Linked DNA regions of Rhinolophus ferrumequinum. The protein of the gene in region 2 purifies or fractionates together with the protein of the main gene of each other region. This does not show direct contact. Links are inferred from orthologs where the notes say so. Each region holds a gene or a part of one and is shown on either strand. Other genes may lie near its edges. The genes, in order: mitochondrial chaperone BCS1, NRP1, FAM241A and PLXNA1.

What was found.
Region 1: the proteins of NRP1 (region 2) and mitochondrial chaperone BCS1 purify together in Homo sapiens (affinity purification with mass spectrometry; 3 studies listed by BioGRID and IntAct, counting the BioPlex papers as one, with this or other methods). This does not show direct contact. The link is inferred for Rhinolophus ferrumequinum from reciprocal best matches to the Homo sapiens genes NRP1 and BCS1L.
Region 3: the proteins of NRP1 (region 2) and FAM241A purify together in Homo sapiens (affinity purification with mass spectrometry; 3 studies listed by BioGRID and IntAct, with this or other methods). This does not show direct contact. The link is inferred for Rhinolophus ferrumequinum from reciprocal best matches to the Homo sapiens genes NRP1 and FAM241A.
Region 4: the proteins of NRP1 (region 2) and PLXNA1 purify together in Homo sapiens (affinity purification with western blotting; 4 studies listed by BioGRID). This does not show direct contact. The link is inferred for Rhinolophus ferrumequinum from reciprocal best matches to the Homo sapiens genes NRP1 and PLXNA1.

What each region holds. Positions count from the first base shown.
Region 1 is NC_046291.1:16,706,139-16,713,647, forward strand, and holds the start of mitochondrial chaperone BCS1, read right to left. Parts: upstream 3,390-7,509; 5' UTR 3,301-3,389; intron 3,290-3,300; exon of another isoform or gene 3,157-3,289; intron 2,085-3,156; 5' UTR 2,038-2,084; coding exon 1,718-2,037; intron 1,612-1,717; coding exon 1,472-1,611; intron 1,272-1,471; coding exon 1,077-1,271; intron 821-1,076; coding exon 757-820; intron 522-756; coding exon 352-521; intron 169-351; coding exon 51-168; intron 1-50. Other genes in the region: ZNF142 (zinc finger protein 142), read left to right, coding at 4,878-5,157, 7,201-7,509. UniProt on the Homo sapiens protein: Chaperone necessary for the incorporation of Rieske iron-sulfur protein UQCRFS1 into the mitochondrial respiratory chain complex III.
Region 2 is NC_046288.1:4,335,676-4,343,504, reverse strand, and holds the start of NRP1 (neuropilin-1), read left to right. Parts: upstream 1-4,463; 5' UTR 4,464-4,672; intron 4,673-5,295; 5' UTR 5,296-5,757; coding exon 5,758-5,842; intron 5,843-7,829. UniProt on the Homo sapiens protein: Cell-surface receptor involved in the development of the cardiovascular system, in angiogenesis, in the formation of certain neuronal circuits and in organogenesis outside the nervous system. Mediates the chemorepulsant activity of semaphorins.
Region 3 is NC_046301.1:886-8,482, forward strand, and holds the start of FAM241A (uncharacterized protein FAM241A), read left to right. Parts: upstream 1-4,199; 5' UTR 4,200-4,360; coding exon 4,361-4,516; intron 4,517-7,597.
Region 4 is NC_046302.1:2,593,186-2,601,552, reverse strand, and holds the start of PLXNA1 (plexin-A1), read left to right. Parts: upstream 1-5,334; 5' UTR 5,335-5,377; intron 5,378-8,367. UniProt on the Homo sapiens protein: Coreceptor for SEMA3A, SEMA3C, SEMA3F and SEMA6D. Necessary for signaling by class 3 semaphorins and subsequent remodeling of the cytoskeleton. Plays a role in axon guidance, invasive growth and cell migration.

The DNA.
Region 1 (7,509 bases), on a different chromosome or scaffold from region 2:
CTAAGACGCTGAGGTGGAGCCTGGCCTCAGAGTACCTCACTCCTTCCTACCTGTCCACGTGGTTGGTGGTCATGAACACAATGCGGGCCTCAGTGGAAGCCACACCATCCAAAGCATTGAGCAGTCCACTGAAGGTGAGACGACCTAGACCTTGGTACTTTACTGGGTCTATAGAAGGCAGAGAGAAAGAAGCTTAAAATCAGTCCTTTCTGTTCCCCACCACATTCCCCTACTTATTGCGTCTCTGTGGGCTCTTACTGCTAGCCCAGGCAACCTCCAGCAGCCCCCCGGATTCCCACTTTTCTTCTACTGTTCATTTAGAAACCCCTTCCCTCAACTCCCCTTACTTACTGTCCACAGCCAGGTCTCGACTGAGAAAGGCAGCATCCACGTCTTCCAGGAGCACCAGGCTCTGCTGAGGGGCCACACTCAGCAGGTGGTTGAGCCGGTCATCGGAGAGGCTGGAGTCTGTGAGACTCAGTAAGCAGATGCTGTGCTCCAGTTCCCCAGCCAGGGCTGTGCTACAGAAGATGGGGGGACGGATGGTTAGCAACCTGGGAATTCGTCCTTGGGCCCACTGCTTGTTCCTCACTGTACTAGGTGTGTCTCAGGCCTACCCCTCCCACCACCCCACCCTAATGTTCCTCATGTCTCATGTTTATTCTGGTCCCTGTTCCCCACATTCCTTTCTCTTTCCAATCCCATCAGCCCAGTTTTCCTCCAGTTTGAGGATTAAGAGAAACATTGACTACTTACATAAAACTGCTCTTTCCACAACCAGGGGGTCCATAAAGCAAGTAGCCACGTCTGTAAGGAATGCCTAGAAATACCGCCAGGATGATCACCAAGGCCTAAAATCATGTACTCTACCCCAGATGTCCACATTCAGTCCCACCCTGCTCCTCGGAGGCCCAAGGACCTTGGCATTGGAAGAAATCATCACCGTAGGCAACTTTCCCTTCATCTCTGGGAACTGGGCTAGAGCTTTACATGCATTCCATCTGGCCAGAGACTAGCCTGTTTCCTCCTGCTCTAACATCAAACACGGTCTGACCAAGACCCCAGCCACTGCTCACCTCTGTCAATGTACCACTTGGGGTTATCGATGAATTCCCGGATGTCTCTGACAATTCGCTCAGACAAGCCCTGTTCTAGAACCACAGAATCCAGTGGCCGCCGCCGGCGTGGATAGCCAAAGGAGCGCCATTCAGAGCCCACGGCTGTGTACATCACTGTCTTCCCTTCCTCCTGCTGCAAGGCTAAATCTCGAGCTGGAGGCAGGGGGTGGGGGAGGGGCGATATGAAACAAAGTCAGTATTCCTCTCTGCCGTGCAACTAAGGCAAAAACAAAAACAGCTTCCCCCGGCCCCCTGCTCCCAGCGGCTCATAGCTTCCAAGCTTATTTTCTCTAGGTTAAATGCCCCCATCCCTGCAAGCCCCCATAGAGCCTGCCTATGCCATCATACCACACCTTCCTCCAGGATGTTGAAGAAAACCTTGCGGTCAGTGCCCAGAGCCGTGAAGGTGACAGATTCCCAAGGAGTCCCCGTCTGCAGGTCTATCATCTGCATATCTCGGCTTCGTTCCACTCGGATCCATTTCCCCTGATACCTGAATAAGAATGATCAAAATTGGGGTGAATGAACTGGTGAAACTCAGCTCTCCTCATTCTCCTCTTCTACTCTTGGAGCCCTCCCTCCCTGGCTCCCCACCTTACCAGATAAAGTGGTTTCCAGGGCTGGGGACAAATTCAAACTTAGTGGAGATGCGGCCACTCTCATGCTGAAGGTACGAGGTCTCGACACTGAGGTGCTGCGTACGGGTACTATGGCGGGTGAGCCAGCTCAGCAACCAGGCATAGCTCCGGTCTCGAGCAGGGACTTCCAGTGTGATCATGTAATGGCGCCGGAATGCCACCAGGCCTAGCTGGGCGCCCTTCCGGGCCACGGCCAGGGCCGTGCCCACACCCACCAGTCCAAATCCAGCCCCAAAATACGGATTGTCCTTCAGGGCCAGAATAAAGTCTGAGAGGGGCATCTTAAAAGGGAAACACAACCTCACAGGCCCTGAAGCCTTTTCAAAACCTGGGGATGGGGTGCAGTGGGGATGGGACAAAGCACAAGATTAGTTTAGAAACTGGACTCCACAATTCCTCCCCTCCCCCTCCTCCTGCAAAAGCTGGGAGCAGGAAAGACAGGTCAGCTACTGTGTACTTTAATATCCTCCCTTTGTGGGACGGCCATGGTGTTGTGACGCAAGGGCTGAGCCTCCAGGCCCCTTGGCCCATTTTGCCCATCATTGTACTGCTCATACCTGTTTCCTGAAAGAAAACTATGTCTGGAGATCTCTTACTTCTGAGAGTACAGTGTAACCAGCTTCACAACAGGATAACAGAATTTTTGTGGTCCCTGGGACCAGCTGAGATAGAAAGGGGCCCCCTGGCCAGAGTTAGGAGGGGATGAAGCCATTGTCTTCCCCTGACCTGTCAGTAACCCCAAGCCTTGTTACCATGAGTGACGTCCTTCGAATATCCTCTCCTTTACATGCTCAATTCCTGATGTCCTGTTTAGCCCTTTATTACCTCCTACCTTAAGTCTCTTTAAAATTTAGTTCTTGAAATGGCACTTAATTGGTCTCCACTCCCTGCTTCACGAAACTGCTATACAGAGGCCCAGGTCTTCATACAGATTGGCTTTAATTACTATCCCTACTCAACACTCTCAACGGACCCCTGAATTAAGTAAAAAACAAACAAAAACCCCTTTGCCTGATACTCAAAGCCCTCCATAACAAACCGCCCACCTACCTTTCATGGCTCAGCTCCTAAAACTAACTCCCTGTTGAACAAATATGCAAACCACTTCCCACCTCCTGGCTCAAGCAGTTCTCTCAACTTGAAAGCCTATTTTAATTTCTCTCCAACTGAAGTCCTCCTCATCTGCTACTTTCTCCATGGTGATTTTTCAGAATTCTCCGCAATAAAACGTGACCGTGTCTAATTCTAGACTATAAGATCCCGAAAGGTAGGAAGCCAAATGGTTTTTAGTACACCTCCCCGGCCCCCTGCACTTCGCTGTGCTCCTGGCACGCGGAGCGGTGAACTGACAGCAGTGACCTCCGCTGAGGCTCAGAGTTGGAACCAGAATTCCAAAATACCTATGCATGGAAGGCCACAGACAAAGCCCTATCCGTTCCGGGTCCTTGATGGACGCTCAGAAGCCCCCTCCCGAACAGCCTCCACACCCCAGCTCGCGCCTCCAGCAACGTGCTCTGGAGTAATGTGTCACTCCGCCCCCTTACCGCCATGACTCTCTGGCCCTCCCTCTCAGTGGTTTCACCGCTCCGCACTCCAGGGAAGCGCCACTCGGCCCCGCCCCGAGTTCGCTCATCTACTTCCCGCCACGCCCACCACGAGCGCCGTGCCACTCTGCTCCACAACTCTCGATGGTGCTCCTCGGGCTTCTTGGCTGGGAGGAGTTGGAGGTTGGGGAAACGATAGAGAAAACCATAGAGTACTACTCCCGCCGCCAAGAGGTAGAGAGAGCGGTCTCCATAGGCCCAATGCCATAGAGGCCGCTGGGCCGGAGGCGGTCGCATAAAGGGAGTCCTGGGAGGCCGCTCCAGCTTCTGGTCGATCATAGAGATGCGGCTCCTGCCGGTTCTGGGCCGAAAGGTAATTGAGCGGCTGCGGGGAGCGAGCTAGTAGGGAGTGTGGATGGAGCGGGCTGGAGGGAAAAGTTTCTCGAGCCCCAGAATGAGGGTGGGACTGGGAAGTGGGAACCCTTGAAAGGAGGTGCTGAAGGGAGCACGCCGACGAGCGGGGCCCCGGCGCATCACATCAGCTGCCCCAGTTCCTCAATCGCGTCACTGCTCTGGACCCCGCCCTGTCACCCGCTGGCTCTCCTCAGGACCGTAATCATGACAATGCTTCATCCCAAGCTTTGCAGGTTACAAATCGGCTTTCCCATTCGCCCGGTCTGTGATTCCGCCTCCTGTCCAGCGATGTGGACTCTGTCGTCGCCTCCACTTTACAGATAAGAAAGCTGAGGCCCAGAGAAGCGAGGTGACTGTATCTGTCCAAATCCACGCGGTGAGTCAGAGCCCACAGTCAGGTGGAAACCCGGCGCCTGTGGTCCCCAGGCCAGGTCTCATTCATTCCCCAGGCCTTTCTGCCTTAACCTGTCAGGAAACCTTCGTAGTGGAAGTGACATGTGTGCAGATTCTTAAAGGAGTTGGTTAGCCAGACAAAAATGAGAAGGGGGAAAGGCCCGTAAAGCCGAGAGACAGGCAGACACACAATGTGTGAACGTACAGAAGGAAAAGGATGTGGTGAGTGTGGGGAATGGCAGATCATTGGTATGAGTGGTTCAGAGGTCTGTTGACGGAAGATGAGTCTGGAGAGGTCAGCAGGGGCCAGATGGTGAAGGAAGGGCCTCATACCCATACTAAGGAATAGTGAGTGAGTTCATGAAATGTTAAGAAGGGAAGGGCCATCTGAGATCCCTGGGCCCCACCCGATTTTGTTGCAGCTAAGAAGAGAGATCCAGATTGCTTCATGGTTTGACCAATGTCACTTAGCTCCAAAAACTTCACCTGCGGTCTTTAATATAGTGGCCCAAACTTGTTGGCTCTCTCCTAATATTAATCCCTCTTATAATTTTTATACTTTTTGTTCTAGACATTGTCATAAAAATAAAACTTCTAGGTTGATGAGTTGTGGCATGCTGCCATGCAAGGCAGTATCTAAGGGGGCAGGCTCTGGGTTGTCCACTCACATCAAATGGGAAGAAAGTGAGAGATCTTACTATATTTTATTTGGTTTCTCTTCTAGTTGTTTTATCAGCACTTAAGAGACCGTAGCACACAAGTTGGTGGTAATGACAGACCCCGTGTTGGACTCACAGCCAAGCAACAGCACTGGAGAGATGGATGGACTGTGTCCTGAGCTATTGCTGATCCCCCCACCGCTCTCTAACCCTGGAATCCTGGAGCCTGTCCAGAGCCCCTGTCCTTCTGGGGACCCCACACCTTTACCTGCTAACCCAAGCTGCCTGCTGGTAGAGACCACAGCCACTGAAGAGGACACAGGGAACATGGAGATCATTGTAGAAGCAGTAGCTGGAAATCTGTCCCCAGGTGCTCCTGGAGAGACCTCAGGTATGAACACAGTTGCTAGCAGGCCAGTGGGGCGAACAGCCTTGAGATTTTCGTCTGTGCTATTTTTGTTCCGTCTCTATAAATATGATGAGAACACAAGGTAGCATCCTATCTTTATACTTAGGGATGTGGTAATAGGATTTGCAGTTGGTAAATGTTGATTGAAGGCTGGCAAGGTGGTGCACAACCTTGTACCAAGCTCTTGACAGTCTGTCCCTGTAAGGGCTTCATGTCTGCTAAGCAGTAATCCAGAAGGGAAGACCTTTCTGACACCTCCGCCAATCCTTACTCCAATAATCCTTGGGGATTCTTTCCCCCATATTGACCCTCCCACCCAGGAACTGCAGCCAGGGATTAGGCAAAATGCCCAGCCTCTCTCTACTACCCTGGACTTGGCAGGGCTTCCCAGAGGTAATCTGGGCAGGTATTTCCCTGCCCTAGTTTCTTGTGTATAACATACTTAACTCATCCAAGGCATGTGGTTAAGAGTGGGAGTTGAACATTTACACTTACGCTAGAAGAAAGATTCTCCCCTTTATTCTTCCCACATCTATAACTTCTTATTTTTAAGTAATTTCCTGTTTTTTAACTGCCATCCTTTAACTATAGTTGTCACAACTTCCCTTGGCAGTGTACAAAGAACACGGGGAAAGATTAGTTAATTTGATCATATAATATTTCTAAACTTCTAATCAGTAAAGAAATAATAAATAAAAAACATACCTGGGAAAAACATTTGCAATGTATAAGAAAGAGTTAATATCTTTAAAACTTAAAGAGCTCCACAATAAGAAAAAAGAAACAGTATTTTTTTAAAAATTGAAACAGTATTTTTTAAAAAAAAAAGTGGGGGGAGAAATCTATATGAAATTCAATAAAGAAGAAATAAAAATAGTAACTATAAAGATGCTTAATCTCACTAACACACCAATAAATTCCAGTTAAAAATAACTAAAAAATTTTAAAATATGCATACTCGGACCCAGTAATTCCACTTGTTGGGATTTGTCCTATAGACTCACACACATGTGCAAGGATACGGGGTAAGGATGTGTAGCTTTATTTGTAATGGTTGGAAACAACTCAAATGTCCATCAGTAAGGACAGAATTTCATTTTAATTTATCTGTGCGCAGAAGTACTGTGAACTAAAAAAAATATGAAGTAGATGTAAATGTACTCATAGATTAAAAAAAATAGATAAGTGAAAAAAAATAGGCAAATTGCAGAAAAATGCCCCCAAAGGGCCTGAAAGGATACAGACCAAACTGTGTGTGTGTGGGGGGGGGATGGGAAATATTCTTTTTGTGAAATATGTCTGTATTGTTTGAATTGTTGCACTCAATATTTATTTAAACAAACAAAAAAATCATAACGAGAAAAAGGACCACCAGAATAAATATAAGACAAACCTGGGCGTGAGTCATGGCTCCACCATTAACAAACATGGTGGCCTTAACCTCACAGAATCCCGGGGCCCTCTTTTCATAGGGCAGTTGGAGGACCAAAAGTGTTTCCTAAGCCTGTCTTTATCAAGGTCCTGCCCATTGCTTAAGAAATGGCAGTGATTATTATGAACAGGATTTGGCTGTTTTCAAAAAGGATGTTCTCCATTTTATGAATTACTGTGCTGATAAAAATCTCTTTACAGAATGTAACACTCATATTGTAATATAGCAGATAGTGTCCTGAGATTGTCATTTTCTTTTTTTTTTTTTAAGTTTCTGATTTTTCATCTGGGCAAAATATATTGCCTTTTCTTAATGCTTTCTAATTTGGTTAATGCTTGCTACATTCATTTAACAAATACTTAAGTACTTACTTTGTGCCAAGTATTGTGCTAGATACTGGGAATTCAAACACATCTGCAAGGCAGACTGTCCCTCCCCTGATGGGGTTTGTGGTCCAGGGGCAGAACCAGACTTAAAGTCCGTCTCCACTCCATGAATATTAAGATTCACCTATGTTTTCTGCTAGAAACTAACTCCTACGCATCTTGTTCCATCTGATTCTATGCCTTTTTCTGTCGGTCCTCTGCCTGCAGGTGTCCTGGTAAAGGTGGTGGAGGTGTACTTCTGTGAGCACTGTGAGCAGAGCTTCGCAGAGCCCACTCTGCTGGCCCTGCACCAGTGCACTGAGACCCTTATGCAGCCTGCGCAGGGCCTCGCTAGCCCTCCATGTTCTGTAGAGCTGCCCCCCAGCAACCTCACTCTCCCTGGCCCTCTGCAGGGCCAGAACCAACCAGATAGCCCCCTGCCATGCCCTGTGTGTAGACAGGAGTTTGCCCAACCCCAGACCCTGAAGAGCCACTTCAAGACTCACCGGGGCACTCCTGACACCTTCTCCTGCCCAG
Region 2 (7,829 bases):
CCCTCTTTCAATCTAGGGTAAATCTGTTTTTCTGGGCTATGGATTAAAGCCCCTCCTGCTTTCTGTGCTTTATTTTCAACATCTCCACCAATACTAGGTTCTACCCATCAGCATTTAAGAATGTTCAAAAGTACCTCATCTGAAAAGCAAACAAAAAAGAAAAACATCAACTGTCCTCCACACCTCTTCCTTCCAGAGCTATCTCCTCTCCTTCGGTAGAAATTTTGAGAGAGAATTGTCTCTGTTCATTGTTCCTACTTTCTTACCTCCCATTCATTCCCTAGCCCAGTTCCATCTGGTCTCTAGCCCTGTCCCTCCATTTACACCACTAAAATGGCTCTTGTTAAAAACACCTCTCAGTAACTATCATGCCATTATGTCCAGTTGCATTTTAGTCCTCAACCAACTAACACTCTCAAGGGTATTCAACTCCTTTGTCTAGCATTTCTTTTTGGAAATCTCCCTTCTACTTGATTTTTAAGACAGTATACTCTCCTGGTTTTCCTCTTACCTCTTCAGCTGCTCATTCTCAAGGTCTTTTGTTGTCTTATCCTGACAATCCAGCCTTTAAATGTTTCTCAGTTTTCTGTCTCGGCCTCCTTTTCCAATTCCCTTAGCAATTTTATCCATTTCTTCCACTTCAATTACAATATTATTATAATTACTGTATTATTACATTATATCACTACATATCAGTGACTCACACATTTGTATCTCCAGTCCAAACAACTCCTTTGTATTCCTAATTCATTTGTCTCAAAGAGACTGAAAATCTAGACCAGATCAAACTCATGGTCTTCCTTTCACACTTGTCTTCTAGTGTTCCTTGCCTATTCAAAGGCTATCACCACCACCCATCCAGTTATGGAAGCGAGAATCTTAAGGGTCGTCACTGACAACACCCTCTCCTTTACTGGCATATCCATCCCATCATCTGTCCTGTCAATTATATCTTCTAAATACATCAGGAATACATCTTTTTCCAATTTCCACTTCTATGATCCTGTTCACTCTCTTATTTAGATTCCACTATAGGTACTTCCTAACTGGTCTTTTTACTTCTTCCCCTGCTCCACCCATAACTCATTTTCCATGTAGCAGCCAGAGTCATCTAATAAAAGTACAAAATAAAATTAAATTGTGGTAGGATAAATTCAGCAATTCTTACCTGTGCTTTTGGTCTTTATTTTATATTTTTAAAATTATTTTTGCTGATTATTTCAAAATTCCTTAAAATTTTCCTTCTCTATTTAAGACTATAATTAAATTTTAAGAGAGCCGCTTCCTTATTTGATTGCTCAAATTATATTTTATAGATTGTCCTACTTAAAAATAGTCCTTTTTGAAATGTTGAATAGGTTCTCTCTAGTGATGTTTTATTGGTTTGATGAATGTTTCTATTGGTTATTACTATTTCTTAATTAAGTGATTCAATGAAGACAGAATAATCTAAGATTATTGTTTTAGGGCAAATAATATACAGTTTTCAAACTCTATCCCTAACCTCTAACACCAAAAATTGTTTTGAATCCATTAATATGATTCAAATTTTAGCATTGTATTCCTGCAACTTGTTATTGCACATATTATATTACAAGAATTTTGCATTGTAACTTTGTTTTTAAACTTTAGATGGTAGTCTTTTCTCCAATATTTGAAGAATTTTCAAGGTAACTTTGAAAAGGCCAAAAATGAAGGATCAGAAAGTAAAGGTTCATGTGTTTATTTTCTTCCTCTGCTAATCCAAATTAAGGAGATAATCACAAGTATGGTCCAAAAGATACCTCTTGAGTGATAGAGTCATTTAATGGAAGGGCATTTATAATAAAAATATTTTAAATAACAGTTCATTTAAATTCCAATTTTAAATCCTTTCCCAGTTTCACTTGTTCCACTCTTACATTTCAAATGTAGGTTAGCTCTTACTAAAAATATTTTTTTTTGCTTTTCTGAAATATGTGCTTTAAAAAACTTGACTAGACTTGATAGAGTTTTGAAATACCAACCTGAATCTCCATATTACAACAACCTGAAGTACTTTGAGGAAGTTAGTGGTTCAAATGGCCTTGTGGGAGCAATGTATCTCATCTTATTTTTGACAAATTAATGAGAGGTTGATGAAAGGAACCAAACATTTACCACCAGGTCTATTCTTAACGATGGACCACTGCTCAGGCCCTGCTTTCTATAGGTGGAAGCCAAGTGCCTTATTCCTGCAGCAGCCCCTGCATGGGGGGGGTCCATGTGGTCGAGTACTGCCCACCCAGGGCTTTTGACCATAGTTCTGGGAGTGTGGGCCATGAATCTTCCCTTCAGTGGAACTGGGTCCTATCTAGTCTGGGGATTTGTTATGTCAGGAAGAGTGATGTGTTCCTGAGACTAAAATAAAATCAACCCAGGAACACTGACAAATTTTTCCTCTATCACTTATTCTCCTATAAAGGTCGGTCTGTCTCCCTTGCTGGAGAATTGCAAAAATATAAAACTGACCCTTTTCAGCACTTAGTGGAATCCAAAAGCAGAGGAAAGAGGTTCTCAGGAAGGACAATTTACTCTGTATCAACCCACTAGCTGGCAATTGTCAATCAGTGCCATGGTGCTCTATTACCCAGTGCTGTGTGGAGCTAAGGAGTTTAGAAAGGCCATCAGCTAAGACTGGAAAAATCTGAGGTAGAACTTAAATACGATATCCCCACACACACAAACCTCAGAGAGCATAGTGCATGTTTTATTTGTTGGTTGGAGAAAGCCTGGCAAAAGTGTTCAAACTGGTGAGCAAGAAAGGAGACAGGCATTTTTTGCTCTTGGACTCACTGGAGGATCCCTTCCCGGGCACAGGCAGGCCTTCCCAGGTAGCCTGAGGGGCGAGGTTGTGGAGTGGGGGCAGTCCCTCTCTGAGTGCATGAGCTCATGGCTTTATTCGTTAGCCGGGTGGGTCCAGGCTGGGAAATGCACACTCAGCAGGGAAAGGGGAAGAGAGATTGGCAGCAGTTTTCTAAAAACAACACAGCTCAAGTCTCCCGCGTGTGCCCCCTTGCTCACCCCGGCGAGGCATAGACGGGTCAAACCCGGCTCCTGTAGCAAGCGGGCCTCCTAGTTCCCACTCGGAAGAAAAGGGCATCTGTGACTCTGGGACACTCCGGCCCCTGCACCCACCCGGTGTCCTTGCTCTGTTAACCTGCCAGTTTCTGAGAGGCCCCTCTCCCTCCAAGCTTTGGACTGAGGTCGCTGAAAGTCACCACAAATCTGATGAAGCCGCTCGCCAGACGCAGCTCGGGACTGGGACTGGCGGGGCTGCGGCCGGGACGGAGAGGTCAGCCGGGAGGAGGCGATGCGCCGGTCGTAGCCCAACACCAGGGTTCCCTCCACCGCATTTGCTCCCTCCCTCCCCGCCGCGCTGGGTGCGGCTGGCTCCCCTGCCTTGACTCCTGCCCGCCCGCTGAAGCTGGGGTTGCAGGGATTCCCAGCGCCCCGCCACCGCTCCTTCTGCCCCGCCTAGACATTGGACTCCCAGCCTCCTAGTGCCACCTCCTTAGCCCGCTCCTCCCAGGGGTCCCGGAGCCGAGAAGGAAAGGAGGCGTGCGGGAAAGGAGGCGCTAGCGGGCAGGGCGGGCTCAAGGCGCCCAGGGGGCTGGGTCTCCAGCTTGGAGGCGGGGGCTCCCCGGGAGCTGGCGGGCGGGTCGGAAAGCTTGACCTGCAGAGAACGAGAGGCGACTGCAGCCGCCGCGGATGCACCTCCGTGCGCGCTGGGCCAGCCTGCACCTCTGGAGACGCGCGTTACTGCGCCCAGCCGGGACCGGCGAGCGCCGGGTCTCTGCCAGCGGCCAGCTTGCCAAGGGCTCCCTTTCTCCTGTCCCGCCCCTAGTTCTTTCGCCAAAACCTTTGACCAGTGTCTCCTTGCCAACATTCCTAAATCTCCTTTGCCAGCTCTTTGCGCCAGGTAGGAATAAGGCTCTGCTTTCGGGTGTGTACCTAAACGCCAATCCCCAGAAGATGTAGTGACCTTTTCACCTTCCCCACGAACTCCTTCGGAGGAGGTCCGCGGGCATTTACCCCTGTCAAGGGCTTAATCGGTGGCCCAAACCTGTTTGTTCCCTGATATACCCTTGCTATTTTTAACCGCGGGAGCCTTCTGCTGCAGTTCTGGGAAAGCCTCAGGAAGGGAACTGGGGGGCATCCCGCCCACAAGAGAGGACGCGCCGCTCTGGGAGGTAGGAGTGGGCGGGAGCTAAAGGGACGTCGGTGACAATGGCCTGCGGCCCGGAGGGGGCACCGTGAGGGCCCTGCCAAGAGCACATCTCTTTCTTCCGCTACCACTGCGCCACCTCCCTTGGGATGCACAGAAACCGGGGCCACTGAACCCCTCATTTCCAAACCCGGATCACCTGGGCTCCGAGACATGGGTTGGGTGGGGTCGGACGACGGCTGCCCCCCGCCCACACACACACACACACACACACACACACACACATACACACAGCTGGCAGTCGCATCACCTCCCACCCTCCGGCGTTTCCTCTACCCCGGAGGAGAGGACACCAACACCGCGGCGTGAGGCGGCTACCTGGGCACCATGAGCGCTCAATCGCGCTCCCTGTCACGGGGAAGGGAGGCCGTGATCTGACACGGCTTAACGTGGCAGCGACACTGCCCACCGTTGCCCAGCTCTGTGGTGCGTATCCCGCTCCAGCCTCGCTCTCCGCCCTGTCCCTGCAGCCCTGGCCCGGGGCATCCAGGGGAGCCCCGCGGCTCCCTGCTACAGGTCTCCGGCCGGCACCGCGGGGAATGGCAGGGGCTGAGTCTGAGCTCCTAGCCGGGCGGACGCTGGCCGGGGGTTCAGAGCTGTGAGAAGCAGCCGCCACCTCCCGGGCGCTCGGTGCTCCTGGCGGCTGGATCCCGGAGATCCTCTGCGAGCTGCCTGCTGTCCCCACTGGGGTCCCGAGCGAGCACGCGGAGGTAACAGAGCCCAACACTGTCGCTGGCCCCCACCTCGACTCCCTCTCACACATGCCCAGGGCGCAGACCCCAGCGCCTCCCTCCTGCAGAGATCCCTGCAGGGCCTCTGGTAGAGACGGACGGACGGATGGGAAAGCACACCCAGGGAAACTTGTTCCTCCCCGTCTCCTGTCAGACACTGACTGGCGAGCCAGTGCGGGGAGAGGGGCGGGAGGAAGCGAGGGAATGGCTCCAGGAGGGGAGGGGGAAGACGGGAGGTGGGGGAGGCGGGGGTGCAGTTGGTGAAACTCCTCTGCCTCCCGCTCATCTTCTCATTGCTTGCTCCTCTCTGTCGCGCAGACACCCCGGACCTCCCCTGGGCGCCAGCTCCTCGGCTCCAAGCGGCCCAGAGACAAGCCGGATTATTTTTTCTTTCTTTCTGGAAATTGGCTTGTGTGCTTCCCCACCTCCCTCCTCCCCCACGCAGCTTCCCCCACCCCCCCGCGCTTTTTTTTTTTTTTTTTTTTTTTTTTTTTGAGACATGGCCCGGGCAGTGGCTCCTGGAAGAGGAACAAGTGTGGGAAAAGAGAGAGGAAACCGGAGCTAAATGACAGGATGCAAGTGACTTGAGACACAAAAAGAGAAGCCTTGCTCTCCGATCAAGGCATTGCCTCGCTGCTTTCCTTTCTCCAAGACGGACTGAGGATTTTACAGCTCTAGGCGGAGTTGGAGCGCTTCGGATTGTTTAGATTCCCCTCTTTGCTCTATTTTCCCCGCACGTCCTCGTTCTCCCGAGTCTGCTGGGGATCCGGCGAAGGGAGAATGGAGAGGGGGCCGCAGCTCCTCTGCGCCGCGCTCGTCCTCGCCCTCGCCCTCGCCCCCGCCCCGGCCAGCGCTTTTCGCAACGGTAAGTGACAGGCAGAGGCGCGCGTGACAGCGCGGGTCCGGGGCTCCCTAGCTGCCGGACCCGGCCCGGGCGAGGCTTCCCGCCCAGCCACGATTCACGCAGCGCTGCAGGGATGAAACCGGAATAGCCACCTCCCAGGCGAAAGAAACTTTTTATCCAGGCGGAGAAATAAAGAAATAAGACCAGTCGGTTTGGGGCAGGAAGATTTCAAGTCCTCCGGCTCCCTCCTGAAGTTGGTGCTTTGGCTGTGGGGGTTTTCCCACCACTGTTACAAGGCAGCGCTGCCTACCTTCCCATATCAGCACACCAATTATCTTAATAATGTTTCCTCCCAAAGGCAATTAGAATGAGACTCCCTTTCAAAAATCTGAAGGCTGTTGAAAGTTAATGAACGCTTTACCGGGAGAACTTCCTGGTTCCCTTGCAGCTCCCCTAAACTGTTTCCTCTGGTGGGTGCCTGCAAGAGATAGTGGTTTGTTGGTTGATTGAACTCCCTCCTCAGCCTTTGTAAATCGTCCCTAATCTGTCTGAAGCATGAATGAAAGTTCATAGTGTCAATAAAGGAATCTGATATATACAGTGTAAGGCACCGGGATATCTGAAAATCCCTAACCTAGATACAGCTTCCACTTAGCTTTACAAATCACCCACTGTTAAGTAAATGAAAGACTGTGCTGCATTATAAACAGTATACTGTAACCTAAATAATGTGTTTTAAAATGTGATCTGGTTGTAGGCATGTTTCATTTGCACTGTGAAGTAGGAGAAGGCAAGGATATGAAATTATCTTTCCAGTAAATCTTCAGCGATTATTAACTAATTATCAAATGTTTACTTTTGTCTGGCTTAGATTTCAATCAAAGTAATTAGAAGAAAAGACCATCCACTACTTACTGAGGTATATTGTTTTAATAAGTGACCACAAGTGGAGGGGGTTCAGACCAAGAGGAATTTAAATCATGTCTTTATGGTGGAAGTTAATCTATCTAATATGCTTTTTGGAGGTTTTTTGATTGAAGCAATAGATTTCCACCCACGGCTACCAAGCAGTGTTCTAAAGGGCTTGGAAGCAAAATATACTCACAGATTTGTGAATATGAAGTTCAATTTATTAATGAACCTGAGTTGGTGGCATATTTCTATAATCTGGTAGGGAATGAAATAACATTCTCCTCCATTTGAAAGAGCCCAAGTGGTTAGATTTTAGAAATTGCAGCAACTCACCCTCCCCAACTCCTGAGATTAATCAGTTGCAGGGGTGATCACAGAATGAATTTGAAACCTAATGCAAATAGATTTCAGACTTTAGGTTGTGAACGCCATATATATGTATATAAGTGTGTATGACTACATATATATATATATATATATATATATATATATATATATATATATATCTTTTCTTAGTAGAAATTAGGGGAATGCTAAGAACCTGAGCTTGTCAGTGAGCTTGACTGGTTAAAGCCATGTTGCTATGCTTGCAGTGACCACAGCTTCTGTAATTCAGCAGACCTCTTAAAGCCATGTCCACCTCCTCTGAGTACCAGAGTCTGCTAAATTAATTCATTAACCTTATTTAGGACTAATGGTTCAGAGTCATTAGAAATTGCTCTTTCTTAATCAACTGCTAGAGAGATTGAACAGAGCCAGAGAGTCTAGCAGTCCACATTATCTTATTACACTGTCACTTTCTCAGAAGTCACAGATTAAAGAGCTCTGGTGTGGTACCGAGTCTACCTAAATGTCTTCTGAAGTGACTCTGTCGAGTGACTAGAAGCAGTGCTGTTTTATTTCACTCCTCTAACAGATGCCAGACTCTGCCATGATGTTCGTACAGAGCTGGCGGGGACCTAACATGATGGGGTCACTTTCCAAGTTCTCTGCACGTTTAAAATCATGTAAGAGCCTGAGTAGAATCACACAATAGAGTCCAATATGATCATTAGCTGAGGTTCTGAACTCCAGTTGCAACATCATTTCTTCTTGG
Region 3 (7,597 bases), on a different chromosome or scaffold from region 2:
CAGCCTCCTGGTGGCAGAATGAGCTCTACTGTTGGTGTCCACACAGCCACAGCCCGCTGAGTGCTGACTCTGGCATCTGTGCCAGCTTCATCCTTGGGGCGGTGCTCACCACGGCCCCTCCCTGGTCTTCTCACCCTTGCTCTTCTTCAAAATCATGGTCCCCGCTTCAGCTCAGGCTAGAGCGCCTCTCACAAGTCTTCTCACTGGTCTCTCTGCTTCCTGTCCCTGCAACCTCCACGCCATGACCAGCTTGATATTTCTAAGCTAGGGATCTAAGCCTGTCGCTTCCTGTGAGTAGAACTACCAAGAGCTTCCATTTAGGGTAGGGAACAAAGTCTATCATCGGCACAATGTCCATTGTCTTTATCAGGCTTCATGTTCTTCTCCTGGTGTCATTTGCTATCATAACACCCCAATTCACTCACCAGGTACCCCCGCTGTCAGCATTAATCTGTATGGTTGGATGACAGGTGTGGACTTTAACAGATAGAGGCACCAGAACTGAGACTGAGCCTGAATGTGGGAACCTGAATACAGACTTTAGTGAATAATAATGCATCAACATTTGTTCATTAATTGTAACAATTCTGGAAAGAGAAATTATAAGTAAAATAAGATAAACCTATTGCATAATAATGGGTAATTTCCTAGTAGAAATAGACATTAACAAAACAGACCCTAAAATAAGGAAAATACAAACAGATCAGTTAGCCATCCAGGACTTCTTCACCTGCTGGTTCTCCTCTCGTTGTTCTGGGGTTCCCTCTCCCGAGACAGAGAAGGGACAAGAACAGAGCTGGTCAGCAGCTTCCTTAAGGTCTGACCCCACCCAGTGTCCTTATGTCCCCCACTTGTGCCCTTCCCCCACCCAGTGAGGACACCTTGCAAAGGGAGTCTCAGGGATTATTGATTCTAATCAGTCAACCAGGACTTTTTTGATTGGGAAGAACTGGACACACTTACTGAAGTACAATTAATTAATAATTGTTTCAATGGCAGCAGTACATTAATACTTGCAAGAGGCAACTTAAGAGTTGTTCAAGTTCTCACAGTCACACTGTGTGAGCTGATCTCTCTCCAACACTCCGTCCTGCTAAGTGCCTTTCGGTGGCCCCATTCACACGCACAGTCTCTCTCCCTGCATCCAGGGTCTCCAGCCACTCTTTCCCATTGGGTCCCATGAAATGTCACGGCTTTAAATACGCATGGCTAGGGTCACGTTCTCATGCTTGAACCCATCAGAGCACCCAGAGGATGGAACAGACAATGGACTAGATGTGGGGTCAGCCCTCTGGAACTGTTTGGAATGGAAGCAGGTGAGATGAGTTCCCTGGAAGCTGAGGTGCTGGACTTGGGCCCAAAAACAGAAGCTGGGTCAGGGAAAGCAACAGATTCCATATCACTGAACCCGAACCCTAACCCCCTAAACCCAACCTGAAACCCCAAACGTAAAAAACCCTTAAATTCTAAACACTAAACCCTTAACCATAAGCCTAAATCTTAACCTAAACTGTAAAACCTTATAACCAGAAACCAGAACCAGAACTATAAACCAAAACCTAAACCCTACTAAATTATAACTATAAACCATAAACAATAAACTGTGAACCATAATCATAAGCCATAACTATAACCATAAACTATAGCCATAACCATAAACCATAAACTGTAATCATAAATCATAATCCAAAACCAACAACATAAACATAGCCATAAACAATAAACATAATGCATAACATATTAACATAAACCACAAACTGTACACATAGCCATAAACAATAACCATAAACTATAACCAAACCATAACCCATAACCTTAACCCCTAACTGGGCACTATACTTTACCTCAGCCCCAACCCTAGCTCTGTAAACCACTAACAATAGCCCCTATCCAATCAAATCACAAATACATCACAAAACAAAATATACAGACCTATATTCCTTATAAAGACGTAACAATGCTCCATAAAATAGGAATATGAAACCAACTACACATTAATATAATTATGCACCATAAGCAACTGTGTTTACACCAGAAATTTGAAGGTTGTTCAATGTACTGAAACCAAACTATGGAATACCCAGCAACAACTGTCGCGTCCAGCATGACGTGGATTGTGGGGAGGGAGAAGAGCAGCACAAGGTTAAGAAAAGACAGTAGCCATGATTATAATACGAGCGTGGCCAAGGGTCTCAAGTCTCAAGGACTGAGCCCGAATCGGGCCAACGCGTAGTTTTTATTGGTAAACTTCTAAAGAGGTAAAAGATGGTTAATCTCAAGATCTGTGTGTTAGTAGCCTGCTGGCTGTCTTTCTGAAAGTTCCTATTGTGTTCCAGCTTGTACTTTGCCTTCACAGACACGCACATCTCCAAGGAATCCATTGAAGGGGAGGGACCGATATAATTCCATCGGGTCTCAGTTTGCTGAGACTTCCCCTCAAAGGAGCTTTTCCGATATCTCTCCATCGGGCCTCAGTTTGCTGAGGCACTCCCTTGTGAAATCCTGGGAAGAGCACAGGGGAACAAACGGATTGGCAGCTGTAAGGCAACAAACAACAGTATGAAGGAAAAACACGTGATCACATCAGTGAGGCACAAAAAGCTTTTCACAAATCCCAGTCCTATTTCATGATCTAAACACTCAAGAATGTAGGAATAAAAGGAAGTTTCTTCAATATGATCAAGAACTTTAGCCAATACTGGGCCGGCCCGGTGGCTCAGGCGGTTAGAGCTCCATGCTCCTAACTCTGAAGGCTGCGGTTCAATTCCCACATGGGCCAGTGGGTTCTCAACCACAAGGTTGCCGGTAGGATTCCTTGAGTCCCGCAAGGGATGGTGGGCTGCACCCCCTGCAACTAGTAATGGCAACTGGACCTAGAGTTGAGCTGTGCACTCCACAACTAAGATTGAAAGGACAACAACTTGACTTGGAAAAAAGTCCTGGAAGTACACACTGTTCCCCAGTAAAGTCCTGTTCCCCTTCCCTAATAAAATCTCTAAAAAAAAAAAAAAAGAAAGAAAGAAAGAAAGAAAGAAGTCCCCAAAAAAATTAAAAAATTAAAAAAAAGATTAGGCAAATAATGGCAAATATCATAGCTCTTTTTTTAAGATGACAGATTTATTCCTGAAATCAGGAACAATGCCAGGATGCTGGCTTTCACCACAGTCATTCCATAATGTCCATCTGGAAAGCTCAATCCAGAGCAATTAGGAAAGGAATGAGAGGCATCCCTATGAAAGGAAAAAGTGAAACTGTCTATTCACAGATGACACATCACATCTTCTTATATATAGAACTTCCAAAAGGATTAACAGAAAAGTGTTACAGCTAGTAAACTAATTCCTCTATAACAAGAAGTAAAAGTTGACAAATCTATGTTCAGTAATTATTTTCTCATATTTGGAAATTATCTAGACATTCAGTGAATATCTGTCATTTAATTTAGATAGCAAAACTTCACAGTTTCAACTTATCAAAGACACATAGAAAACCATATATGTACTCTCTCTATATATATAGAGAGAGAGAAAGAGAGTATATATATAATATACCTATATATATTCTTACCCATTTATAGACATAGACACAAAGGCAGATACACCAACAAATGCTCCCAAGGCTTGTACAACCAACATAGATACTAGAGAGGACACAAAAGGAACAAAAGAGACAAAGAAATATGGATTACTTGCCAGAGTTTGACTATTATGGACACCCAGACACAGCCCAGTGCCATGGCAAACCAGAGGGACAACACTGGAGAATAACTGTGTGCTTCACTCCCTCTCTCTCCCTCTCTCTCCCTCTCCCTCTCTCTCTCTCTCTCTCTCACACACACACACACACACACACACACACACACGCTGTCTCATACACGGTCTCACACCATCTCTCTTAAACATATAGTCTCTCAGTCTGTTACAGTCTCACACACACACACACACACAGGCCCTCAGTCTCACACACAGGCCTTAAGGCTCTCACACACTCAGAGACTGAGGCCCTGAGTCTCACACACACACACACACACACACACAGGCCCTCAGTCTCGCGCGTGCACACGCACACACGCGCACTCCGTCTCACACACGTGGTCTCAGTCTCACGGTCTGTTACGCAGTCTCTCACACGCTCGCTCGCACTCGCGTGCCCCGTCGGCCACGCCCCCTGTGGCTCCTCCCAGAGGCAGGGGCGGGGCCGGTGGGTGACAGGAGGGGCGGGCGGGGCTAGCACTCCAGGAGTCCCGACCACGCACTCGGGAGCCTCGGTCCGCGGCGAGAGGCCCGGTCCTGGGCGGCCCACGGGCGCTGCTGCCTCGCGGGTCGGGACCTGGCCCTCCGGCGGCTGTCGGGGAGGCGAGATGTGCTCGGCTGGAGAGCTGCTCGGCGGCGCCGGCAGCGGGGCGCGCGAAGAGGACGGGGACGCGTTGGCGGAGCGGGCTGCGGCGGGGACCGAGCGGGAGCCCGAGATGAGCTCGCGGCGGCGCGAGCGGCGGTCGCAGGAGGAGCGTGAGCAGGTGAGCGCGGAAGTGGGCGGCGCGGCGGGTCCGTAGCTCTGCGGGCGGGCTGCGCTGGGCCGGGGAGTCGGCCCGCGGCGGTTCCTGCGCTCCTGACGTGCTCCTGCCATGTCACTGCGCCCAGCGGGCCAGCGGGGCTCGGTCGGTCCTTCCCCTAACGTCGGGCAGAGGATTCTCAGGCCGGCGCCTAGGGTTCTGCGCAAGTGCCCTCAACCGTCACTTGTCTCTGTCTTCCATGCGAACACTGTGTTTTCATCTTCGAGTCCGCCCTCGTGCTGCGCCCTAGGGGACAGCTGCGCCCTCCCGCCGCCCTCCTGGCACCTCTGTAAGGTGTTGGTCCCTTTTCCTAGGTGGGTACCCGGTGTCAGAAGGCATGTGGAGGGGCCAGTATTGCAATAGATGTCGTGACAGGGACTATCCCAGAGCACGTTCTTCACATGAATGCAAAAGAGATCTAAATTACATTTAAAAGGTGAAAAAGCAAGATAATCGCTTTCCGTTTGTACCACAGGTACAGAAGTGTGAGACGCCAGCAGTAATAAGGAAAAAGAGAAGTTGGGTAATTTTTGAAACTCCGAATTTTCTCTCACTCAATGGGTGACAATAGGCATTATAACATCAAATATCTTCAAGATTAAGCAAGAAATTTAATAAAAGAAATGTATTGGTGGGGTGAATTTTCAGCAGCAGATACAGTGATTAGGTTTCAAACTTTCCCGAGATTAGCCAACCTTCAGAATCCCGTCTAGGAGCAGGATTCTAACAGATCACTTGCCTTTACTACAGCTTATAATGTTGGGACAGTTGACCCCTCTCCCCTCATCCTCTTCCATCTGTCCTTCCTGTCATATTTCACAAACTCGAATATCACTAAAGGCATTGATAGCTAAAGTATAACTTCTAGTCGTCAACGGTTTATTTAGGAAACAGAATTAACAGTGTGGCACGCAGAACGATGCCTTTGCATTATGTGAAGTGTAATTTTTCATCCTTATGACAATGTAAGACCTAGTGACTAAAGGAAATCATTGGTAGGTAAGAGGTCTTCCTGATTGCCTTCTTGATGTTTTTTTCCAGTTAACTGTACCATGACTCAGTAGCTAAAGGGCTTAGTTTCCTCTTACTTTACTTGTTCAACTGGAAAAGTGAAGAAAACAGACAAAAGGAACTGACTTGGTGATGGGAGTGGGGGTTGCGTTTGAGGTTCCCAAGGTACATTTTCGGATGGCTGTAAGGGAGCATGTAAAATCCTTCACGTGCACCTCTGTGGATTTGGCATCATGGGTAGCTCTGATCTTATCAAAATTGCTTGTGGTTCAAAGAAACAGGGTGAAACAAAAAAAAAAAAGAATGAAACATATATCCCAGAAAACAGATATCACTTTGCATATCTACTTCATTCGTTGCATGTCATGGACATTCATTTTGAAGTACTCCTATGAAAATATTATCATTTTATTTTTAACACATTTATTTACATATACAATAATTGAAAATTACACCTGAGATATGTATTTCTTCCCATATCAGAACTAAAGAACTTCTTATCAAGAGGCCACAAATAAAATTGGTGCAACCCAACCCATTGGTGTAAGAAGCAAGCCTTTTTTTTTTTTTAAATGGGAATAAGTCAGTCTACTTCTTTTTTTTTTTTTTTTTTTTTTAAGATTTTACTGGGGAAGGAGAACAGGACTTTATTGGGGAACAGTGTGTACTTCCAGGCCTTTTCTACAAGTCAAGTTGTTGTCCTTTCAGTCTTAGTTGTGGAGGGCGCAGCTCAGCTCCAGGTCCAGTTGCAGTTTTCTAGTTGCAGGGGGCACAGCCCACCATCCCTTGCAGGACTCCAGGAATTGAACTGGCAACCTTGTGGTTGAGAGCCCACTGGCCCATGTAGGAATCGAACCACAGTCTTCGGAGTTAGGAGCATGGAGCTGTAACTGCCTGAGTCACCGGGCCGTCCCAAGAAGCAAGCTTTTGAGATAAGTCATTTCTTAGTAATATCACAAAGGCTTGTTTTCTAGTTTTTTTTTAATTCCTGCAAATGTAGTGTAAATTTCTTATGCACTCCCTCCAGTGATGTTAGAGATAACTGCAGATAAAAGGGGGAAGTAAATGAGGGAGAAGTAAATCACAACTATACAACATATCCTAAGGAGTTGTTTTATTTAGTTTTTCTTTAGGGGGATGGTGTGTGTTTATTTTGTTGTTTTAAGACACATAAACATTTTGTTGTTTTAAGACACACAAGGTCCAAATTACAAATGGACTGTTTTTGAAAACTTGGTTCATAAACTAGTTATTTAAAACTTAAAGTGAACTGATAAATAGAAACAATGATATAAACAACAGAACCAAAACTAATTACGTAACTGGAAATGAGGCAGAGGCCATCTTCCTGCTGTGCTTTCTACTTAGCACACTTGCTCACTTAGCTTCCAGAGCCTCAGACACCGAGAGAGACATGGAGGCCAAGAAAGGAAGAGGCGCCTTTGAATGCAACAGCTGTGGACGTCACCTGACTTGCTCCTCTGGTGATTTTTGTCAGTCACTACTGTTCTGCATTAAGTCCCTCTCTAGTTCCACTCCTTCGCAGAGTTTCGCCATTACCTGATAATTTGATGAAGCAGTTTCTTCCCCAGGCTAAGGGCTCCTCTACATACTTCCTTTCCTTCACTAATTTTTCTCTCCTCTCCTGTGTGAAAGGCTCACGCCCTTCCCTCAACCAGGAAGCCTCTTACATCAGCTTTGACTTTACAGAAACTATCTTTGGCTCAGGGTTGTCATGATACCAGGTCAAAATGTATCTGTATTTTGGTATTTATTTCACGTAATACTGAAATACTGGTATTAATACAGTTGTTTTCTTAGTAATAGAGATATTGTCAGCAGTAGGTTTGCTCACTTTGTGGAATCATCGAATTTTACAGTTTGTCCATAGTTGCTACTCCATTGGAGAAAAAACTAAGGTTCTTCTGTGCTTTTGGCCAATCTTTCCAGGCAATATGATTGACAGAGGAGTCCTGGTTACAATCAAGTCTCCTAGGGGAGGAGATCTGGAACAATAGAACAAGTCCTCTAGAT
Region 4 (8,367 bases), on a different chromosome or scaffold from region 2:
AAAGCACCTACTCTGGGCCTTGTGGGGATGATATGTGCTGTGGGAGCTGCATCAAGCCACAGATTGCAAACTGGAGACCTGCTGGCTGGGTTCTTCTCATTGGTGTGTCTTGTTCACTCAACACTGGCCCAAGAGCATGTCCGTGCTTTCCACAATTGCCCTCCAGGTCATCGCCCACTCTAGCCCTCACCAGCTCCTAGATCCAGCCTCTTACTCTTTACATCCATTATCATTTAGCCCCTGAAGTCATCTGAGCTAGCAGCCCCAGGACAAGGCAATGCTGACTCCCCAGTGCTCTTGGAGAGTATCTATGGAGTGGTGGGTAGGGAGCACTGCTACCGTGTCTTCTATACAATGTAGTGCTGACAGTAACCTGGTTGCATCCCCAAGGCCAGGTGAGGGCTGGTGACATACCTGAGCCTAGACTGGTCACAGCTGGCACAGACAGGGACAGGAAGCCTGAGGCGGATTCACAGGTGGGAAGGGCTGTAGTCAAAAAAGCTTTCTGGAAGGGGTACGGGTGGGAACATGGGCCTTGAAAGATGGAAGGTGGAGGCGGGGGCACTCCTGGACAAGGGCACAGCACAGGGAAAGACCTGAGGTGCAAAGGCATCTTTGGAGCAAGACTCTCAGCATGACAAGAACACTGAGCACAGTGAAGTAGTAGCAGTTAGGTAGGTGGGGTCCTGGATGCTTTGCCTACCCTGCATCCTTGTTTTGCTAATTGCACCAGGATTTTCGGTGAGGGAACCACTCCCCGATGCTACCCCTGGCTCTGGAGAGCTACCCGATCCCCGCCCATCAACAGTCAGGTTCTATCCCTTGGCCATGGTAACTGGTTCAAGGGGCCAAGGGAAAGAGCCTAATCCAGCCCACTTCATGAGGCTCCATTCTGGGAATTTCCCGGGACCTACTGGGAAAGAAGCACCTGGAGGTGCCAAAGCCACCATACACAGAGGCCTGTGTGGGCGTGAACCAAGGTAGTGGCCCACTATGGCCATGCTGTGCCCGAGACCCAGCCATGCTCACTTGCTGCTAACCTGAGCCACTATAGGCTACTTGGAGCTTAAGCCCAGTTGAGTTTCTGTGTCCTGAAACCAACAGCGCCTGACTGGTGAGGGCAGGGGTTGGCAGATGGAGGAGGCCACGGTGGGCCTAGTGGCCTTCTCTTCAGAGTGTCTGCACCTGGGTGAGCTCCTATCCTCCTGCTTTAGAGCCGTGGGCCAAAGGCTTGGGGTGTGGGCATGGCTCTGGCTCCTGAACAGGCGCCCCAACCCCCTCTGCATCCAGCAGCTAGAGTGGGCTCCTAGAATGTAGCAGTGACTGCGTTGTGTCCACAGTGGCAGCCTGTGGGCTGAGGCTGACAGCACCAACCCCACAGGGGTGCGTGAGGAAGAGCCAAGATGACTCCCGGTGCTGTACACTCAGGGCCGGCCCAAGGCAAGTGCCCACCAAATGTCGAGGAACAGCCAGGGAGTACCTGCTCCATGCCTTCCGCCAGTGTGTATGCACACGTGCATATGTCTGTACTCATATGGGTGCGGGGATGGAGCATTCTGTGTGTTGAAGGAACCGCTGGAGGGTCTGCACAGGGAGGGTCTCCACACTCTCTCCTCTCTCAGATCCCTCTGGCCACAGTGCGGAGAGCAAGGCGGGGAGGGGCAGGTGGGAGCTGGTGACTAAGGAGGCCTCCACACCTGTGGGGCAGGAGGTGACAGGAGTAAGAGACATGAGAAACAGTTTTGATGTGGGGCGAGGGGCAGGCAGGAGTCAGGGTGACCCTAGCTTTGAGCCCAGGGGCCTGGGATCAGTGGCTGTCCCGCAGGGGTTTCGGGTGCCCAGGACCCCTTGTGCTCCCTCCCCTGTCCTCCTCACCCATCAGTGACGGGGAGGGAAGAAGGCACCCTTGAGTCTACTTTCGAGCAAAGCTCTGAGTTACCAAATGGCGGAAGCAGCCCCTGGAGCTGCTTGCATGGCAGGAACACTGGGAGGTACTGAAAGAACCTCCTCTCAAACCTTGATCAGAGCTCTACCTAGGAATTGTTCTGTGCCATTCAACAACCCCATGCCTTCCTGAACTACTTGGCAACCAGAAGCAAAACCACAGAGGAGACCAGACAGGAAGGGCCCAAACTGTCCTGTTGACTCATTTGCCCCCATCATGCACGATGAGGAGCACCAGGGCCACACACCCAGGTGCGAATCCAGCTGGACCTCACTCCTCTTCATCTGTACTTGGGGCAGGCTCCTTGGAAGGCAGCATCAGGACACACACACAAACACACTAAGGGAAGGTCAGACAAAGCTCCACCTGGTGGGGACCACCACACTTGGCTCATTGGAGTACGTTATTTCCCATTTTCTCTTCAACAAACTGCCTGTCTCCTCCCTATGTTCCTACTGGGTTGTTGTCTTTTCCTTATTGATTCTTGTGAGTTCCTTCTAAAGCCCGGGTATGCATCTTTTGTCAAATATATGTGTGTTGCAAATATCTTTTCCTAAATCTTGGCTTGTCTGGCCACTTCCTCTTTTGTAACTCTTACTGAACTCTGTAATTTTAATGAACAAAAATAACCAGTTTTAAGGTACTCAAATTGATTCTTATTTATTTTTGATGTTTCATTGAAGAAATCTTCCCTGGCCCACGGTCATAAAGCTAATTTGCTCTGTTGTCTTCTAAAAGTCTTGCAGTTTTCCTCATTGTGCTCAGGTCTATGGCCCTCCTGGAATTGATGGTCACGCATGATACGCGAGCATTACATAATCAGATTTCCATCTTGGAAAGAACTTGCCACCCGTCACCTTTTGGGGAAAGGACAAAGTGACATGATCAGGAGCAGGGGACAAAGTGGGGATAGAGGGTAGTGGTATAATCTGGTATAACATGTTTTGGGGGATGCAGGGGCCCTGGGGGACACTGAGGTTCTTGGTGGGGCGACTGTAGGATGTGAGCGTGTGAGCTTGGCCACCACCCAGAGCCCAGCAGCCCTCCTGAGCCCCTCGGGGAGACAATAGACATGGGGGGCTGGAACGCAAAGCAGCAGCCCTGGCTCTTGGGACTGTGGAACACAGAGTGAGAAGGGTCTTGTGCAGTGCCTGCCTCAGTGGACCCACAGAGGATAGGCTGTCAAGGAGCAGTCAGAGAGGTGGGGACAGCCCTGGTGCCAACACAGGAAGCAGGGAATAGACATTTTCTCAGGCCCACTGTGGTGCTCACACTCACGCCTCCTCACCGCGCTTCAGTGAGGGGTCTCTGACTCCATCTCGCAGATGAGGAAAGTGGGTCTTGGCAACAGATGGGACTCGCTGCACCTTAACTAGCCACTCCAGAATGTGAAGCTAGGTATGTGGCTCAGACGTTCACAAGGAAGGGCAGGTACTTGGGTCTGGTTCACAGGCGTGTGTGTGTGTGTGTGTGTGTGTGTGTGTGTGTGTAGTACAGTGGCTAAGTTGAGACCACAGGCCATGGAAATATACTGTGAGAAGTAGCCCCCCAGCTCTGACACCTACCAGCTAGGGAACTTGGGCAAGCCACTTCACCTCTCCCACCTCAGTTTACCCATCTTTAAAATGTAGCAGAACCCTGTGCAGTGTCAGCACTAGCTAGATTAGTGCTTATTCAATAAAATAGTAAACAGAACTTTTGAAAGAGATGCTCACCCTTATTCAGGGACATGCAAATTAAAACCACAACGATAAATCGGTGCATACTACCAGATAGATAACTCCAGAGTGACAGTACCAAATGTAGGCGAGGATGGGGGCTGCCAGGACCCAAACTGCTGCTGGGACTGCAAACCCGGCTATCACTAGGGAAAACTGCTTTGGGGTGCCCATCAAAGCTAAACACTCAGCTACCTGATGATTTAGCCGCGCATCAGATCTAACCGCCTCCAAGAGCCTGCACAAGATGTCCATCACAGCTCACTGCACAGTGGTCCCAAACTGGGGAGCTGGTTCATCAGCAGGAGAAAAGATGACTAGCACCACCTGCTAAGACATAACAAAGAGTAAACAAACTGCCCATCAGCAACCCGGCCTTGCTGGGCCCACACAGCCCAGAGATCGCGTTTTTTACGCCGCCCCACAATCACAGCAAAGTAGCATGTTCAAATACCCAAAGGAAACCAAGGGAAGGATTCACCTAGAAACTAGGCTAGGGGCTGCACGGCGGGAGGGAGGGGCGAGGGGGGAGGGACCCCTGCGCCCGGCCGTGTTCCTTACCCGGGACTGTAGCCGTTTCCTCTTCTGTGGGGATGACAGGCAGGTACTCACACAGCAAGAGAGCTTCTCCGTGCTCTGCTGCTCTCCCCTACCCAGCTCACCCTTCAACCGCGAGGCTCTCTGGTCCTTTCGGTTCTACTAAAGGTGCTCCTGCGCCTCGCCTCACCTTCCACGGGGCCTTCTGTGGGGAGGCGTCCCCACGCCCCAACCTTTGGGCGGCTCTGAGAACGCGCAGGCAAGCACCATCACGAATGACTGCTGTATGCCCCCTGCTGGGCCACGGGGCCTCGCGCCCTCGGTGGACAGCCCCGGCCCCCGATACCCGCGTCCCGCGGCGCGCCCGGCCTCTGGCTCGGACGGCCTGGATTCATGTCCTGCCACGCCCCATCTCGGGACTCGGCGACGGAAATTTCCTTCTGGGTTGCGTCTGGGTCTGTGAATGCGCAGCTGAGAGGTTTTGAGGGATGTAGGGTGTTGTGCGGCCCGGCCAGCAGAGGGCGCCGTTTTGCTCACTAGCGAGGGTATCCATCCCACCTAACAGATGCGATCGCCAAGGCCAAGAGGTGGGGGGACCCACACCACAGTCCCGCATGACCCAGGGTAGGGTGTTTTCCCTCCTCCGGCCTGTTTACTCTTCCGTGAATGGAGGTTGTGCTCCTAACCCGGGCACACGGAGGCCTCTGGGGACGCAGGCTCAGGTCAGCCCGGATGCGGGGGGCTCGCGGGGACGCCCCGCCGCAGACCCCGCGCCCAGCCACTAACAGCAGGCTGCTGCATCACCGTTTGAAGGCGCGCGGTGGGCCGGGGCGGGCGTGCGGCGCGGGGCAGAGCGCCCTCTGGAGGCCTCTGCCGGCCCCCGACGCCCGCGCCTGCCCCGCCCCCCTGCCTCGCCCCCCGGCCTCGGGCGGCGCATGCGCGCGGCCAGGCGTTCCGCAGGCGGCGAGATCGAGGCTAGTCCGCAGCCGCGCGGAGCTCGGCTCCCCATTCATGCTGGGCAGCGGCGACGCGGCCACGCAGCGGAGCCCCGGCGCGGCGGCGGCCTCGGCCTGGGCGGCCTGTACGGCTTCGGCGGCCCGGCGGCTGGGCAAGCAGCGGCTGGGCGGGCGGCGGAGCGCGGCGATGGCCGGCGGCAAGGCGCGCCCGGGGGCAGCCGGTGAGTAGGAGCGCAACTTTCCCCGTGGCGCGGGGCGGGACAGGCGGGGGTCTCGGGCCGGGGGCGCGCCGGGTGGGAAGCGCCCTCGGTCGAGCCGCCCAGGGTGCGCGGACGTGAGGCCGGGTGGGCAAGGGGTGTACGCGGAGGACTGCGGCGTTCGTGTCCCTGTGTCCCTGCGGCTCCGGCCCGGCTCTCGCGTGTATCCGGGCGCGGCCGCGGCGCCGGTACTGAACGCGTCGTGTCCTAGCCCGGCGGGGGTCGGACCCAGCCCCAGGCCCCGCGCCGTGGGCCTCCCCGCCGGCCCGGCCCTCCGAGCTCCTCCGGGCAGCGCTCCGGGCGGCGCAGCGGGGCTAGGGCTGGCGCTGCTCTCTCCTCTAAGGCAGGAGAGAAAGTTTGAGGCGGCCCTACTGGGAGGGCCCTGCGGATACCCAGGCCGAGCCCGGAGGCTGGACCGCGGCTGGGACCTCTGGCCGCCGGTAGGGCTGGGCCGGTCTGGGCAGGCCCGGGCAAGGCCGCGGGAGCCAAAGGAGGGCATGCGGGGCTGCGCCCCTGGTCGGCCCTCAGAGCGCGGGGGTGGAAGTTAGAGCCGCTTCCTCGGGTCCCAGGCCCGCCCCTGGCCCCTCTGGCCCCGGGTGCTGGGAAATGGGCGCTATGTCCGTTCCAGGCCCGCTGGGCCGCGCACCCGGGCTGGGAGGGGGCGGTGCGGGTGCCGCCCGGGAGGCCGCCCCGCTGTCTCGGGCCTTCCTAGGCCTCCCCCTCGCAGGGCCTCTCCAGGGTCAGCTTGCTTCCCTCGGAGGCTTCCGATTGCTTCCTGGATAGTCCCTGGCCCGGGCCTGGTGTGTACCGGAGCTGGGGGCGGCGGGGCTGATTCGGGACTGCCTCCGGGAAGGGGAAGGGGGAGCAGGGCGCCAGGGAGGACCCTGGCCTCTGTGAGATCCCAGGTGCAGCCCGGGAAAGGGGGGTGAGAGGGGCTGCAATGACTGCCTAGAGACTGGAGCAGCCCTAGCTGATCTGTGGGGTGCTGGGACCACGCCCCTTGAAAGAAAGGGGTGTGTGTGTTCAGGGGTGGGATGTGGACCATGCCTCTGCCCCCTGAGCCTGGGGTCCTTCCCCTTCTTCCGTGCTGAGGCCGGTTCTCTGGCTTTGGGCAGGGGGGTGGGGCTCAGCCTTTGCTCCTCTGGCCCTTGTGAAGCACGACCCAGGTACCTTCAGCTCCTTACCCGTTTGGGGTACACAGGAGAGACCAGGTGTTGCACGAGACTGCTAAGACCCTGCCCAGCCCTTGAGGAGCACCCAGTCCCAGGCCAGAAGCAGACTGGAAAACCAGTGATTCCGCTTCAGGGCCTAGCAAGGGCGTTTCAGGCAGGGGACAGCATGGGTGGAGGTCTGGCAAGCCCCTGTGTGGCTGAGGTGTGTGCTTGGGGGTGGGGGACAAGTGAGGTGCCGTGGACAAAGCACACAGCTCTTTTCTGGTTTGCTGTGGTCCCCAGGTCCTTGCCTGCATCTTTTGATACCCCAGGAAGGTCCCCTTGTCTAAGAAGCAAGCCATAGGAGGAGAGGGCACCACTTCTAGGGAAGATCAAGTGGTGGGCACTTTTTGAGAAGCAGGACTGTAATGCTTCCCGGTGCTGGGCCCCTAGGACTGGTCTGGTGGGAGAACAGGGCGTCTCAGTACCACCTCCCGGGGCCTGTGTTGGGGGCAGGGGTCTGACAGAGGTGGCTCTCTGTCCTGGTTGACAATGGGGCACCACTGGGCAGGATGGCAGTGTCTTTTCTCTGTCCCCCACTCCCTGCCGGTGCCCTAACCTGTCTGAGCCCCAGAAGGATCCAGAGCCTGAGGCGTGGGGCCTGGGCTCTGCCTCTGCGAACAGGGCTGAGTGAGGGCCTTTGTTTCTCAGGGTGAGGAGGAGTGGTGGCTGGGAGAGGGGCGCGGGACCTTGATCTCTCCATGTTCTCCTGTACAGCTGAGCCCGTCCTGTCCAGGAATGGTGCCTGCTATACCAGGCCTGTCTGCCTCTGTCCTGGCCTCTCTCTCCCTGGCTCACCCCCATTCACACACTTAACGCCAGTTCAGCTTCTCACTCCCCAGTCTGGCTCTGACTGGGCCCCAGCAGAGCCTGCTTCTCATGCCGAAGCCAGGAAGCTGCGGTCATTCCCATTGCCCTCTCTGCGTTGTCCAGCAGGTTCCACCCCCAGGCCTTTGCTCTTGCTGCTCTGCCACCCAGGATGCCCCCTCCCATGCCAGCTCCCACTGTGCCTGGTCCTTCTAGAACAGGTGGAAAGGCCCCCTGGGGGAGCCTCCTCAGACCACAGTGGCTTGTTCTGCTCCCTCCCAGCCACAGAGCACTGCAGGTGTGGTGCTCTCCTCCTCCAACCCAGCGTGGTCCTTCCCAGCACTCAGGCAGCTTTGGAATGAATGCATTTTTTCCTGGGCAGACCAAAGGCACGTGGGAGTCGAGCCCCAGCAGGTCTGTTGGTCATCCAGGTCTCTGTAGGAGCCTGGGATTCCGTCCCTGTCCTGCTGGGACTAGCTGGGTGACCTTGGATCTATCTGAGCCTTGGGCCCTGTATCAGTAAGATAGGGGCAGTGACCCAGACGTCTTTCCTGGGCCTTGTGAAATGATGGGCATGAAGGAGCCAACCCTGGGTTCCTGATCCCCGTTTCCTAGCTGGCAGCCCCATGCCTCTGGCCGGTCCCTTCTTTACCAGGAAGCCTCTGTTGGGGGCAGGGGGAGTGGGCCCAGGGCCAGGCCTGAGTTTGGATGGTGGCTTTTTCAGCTGGGTCCCTCCTGTTTAATATAAAAAGTAGGGCCCCTGATTGCATTAAGACGTGTATAATTATCCCTGAAGAGGGGAGAGCCCAGCCCCTGGTAATTGCAGGTCTGCTTTGAACTGATAAACGGTGAGTGATTCATGTTTTCTTTGGAGTTCACATGCACTCAGCTTTCAGTCCAGGCCCCACTGCCACTGTGAGGAGCCTGTTCTCCGCC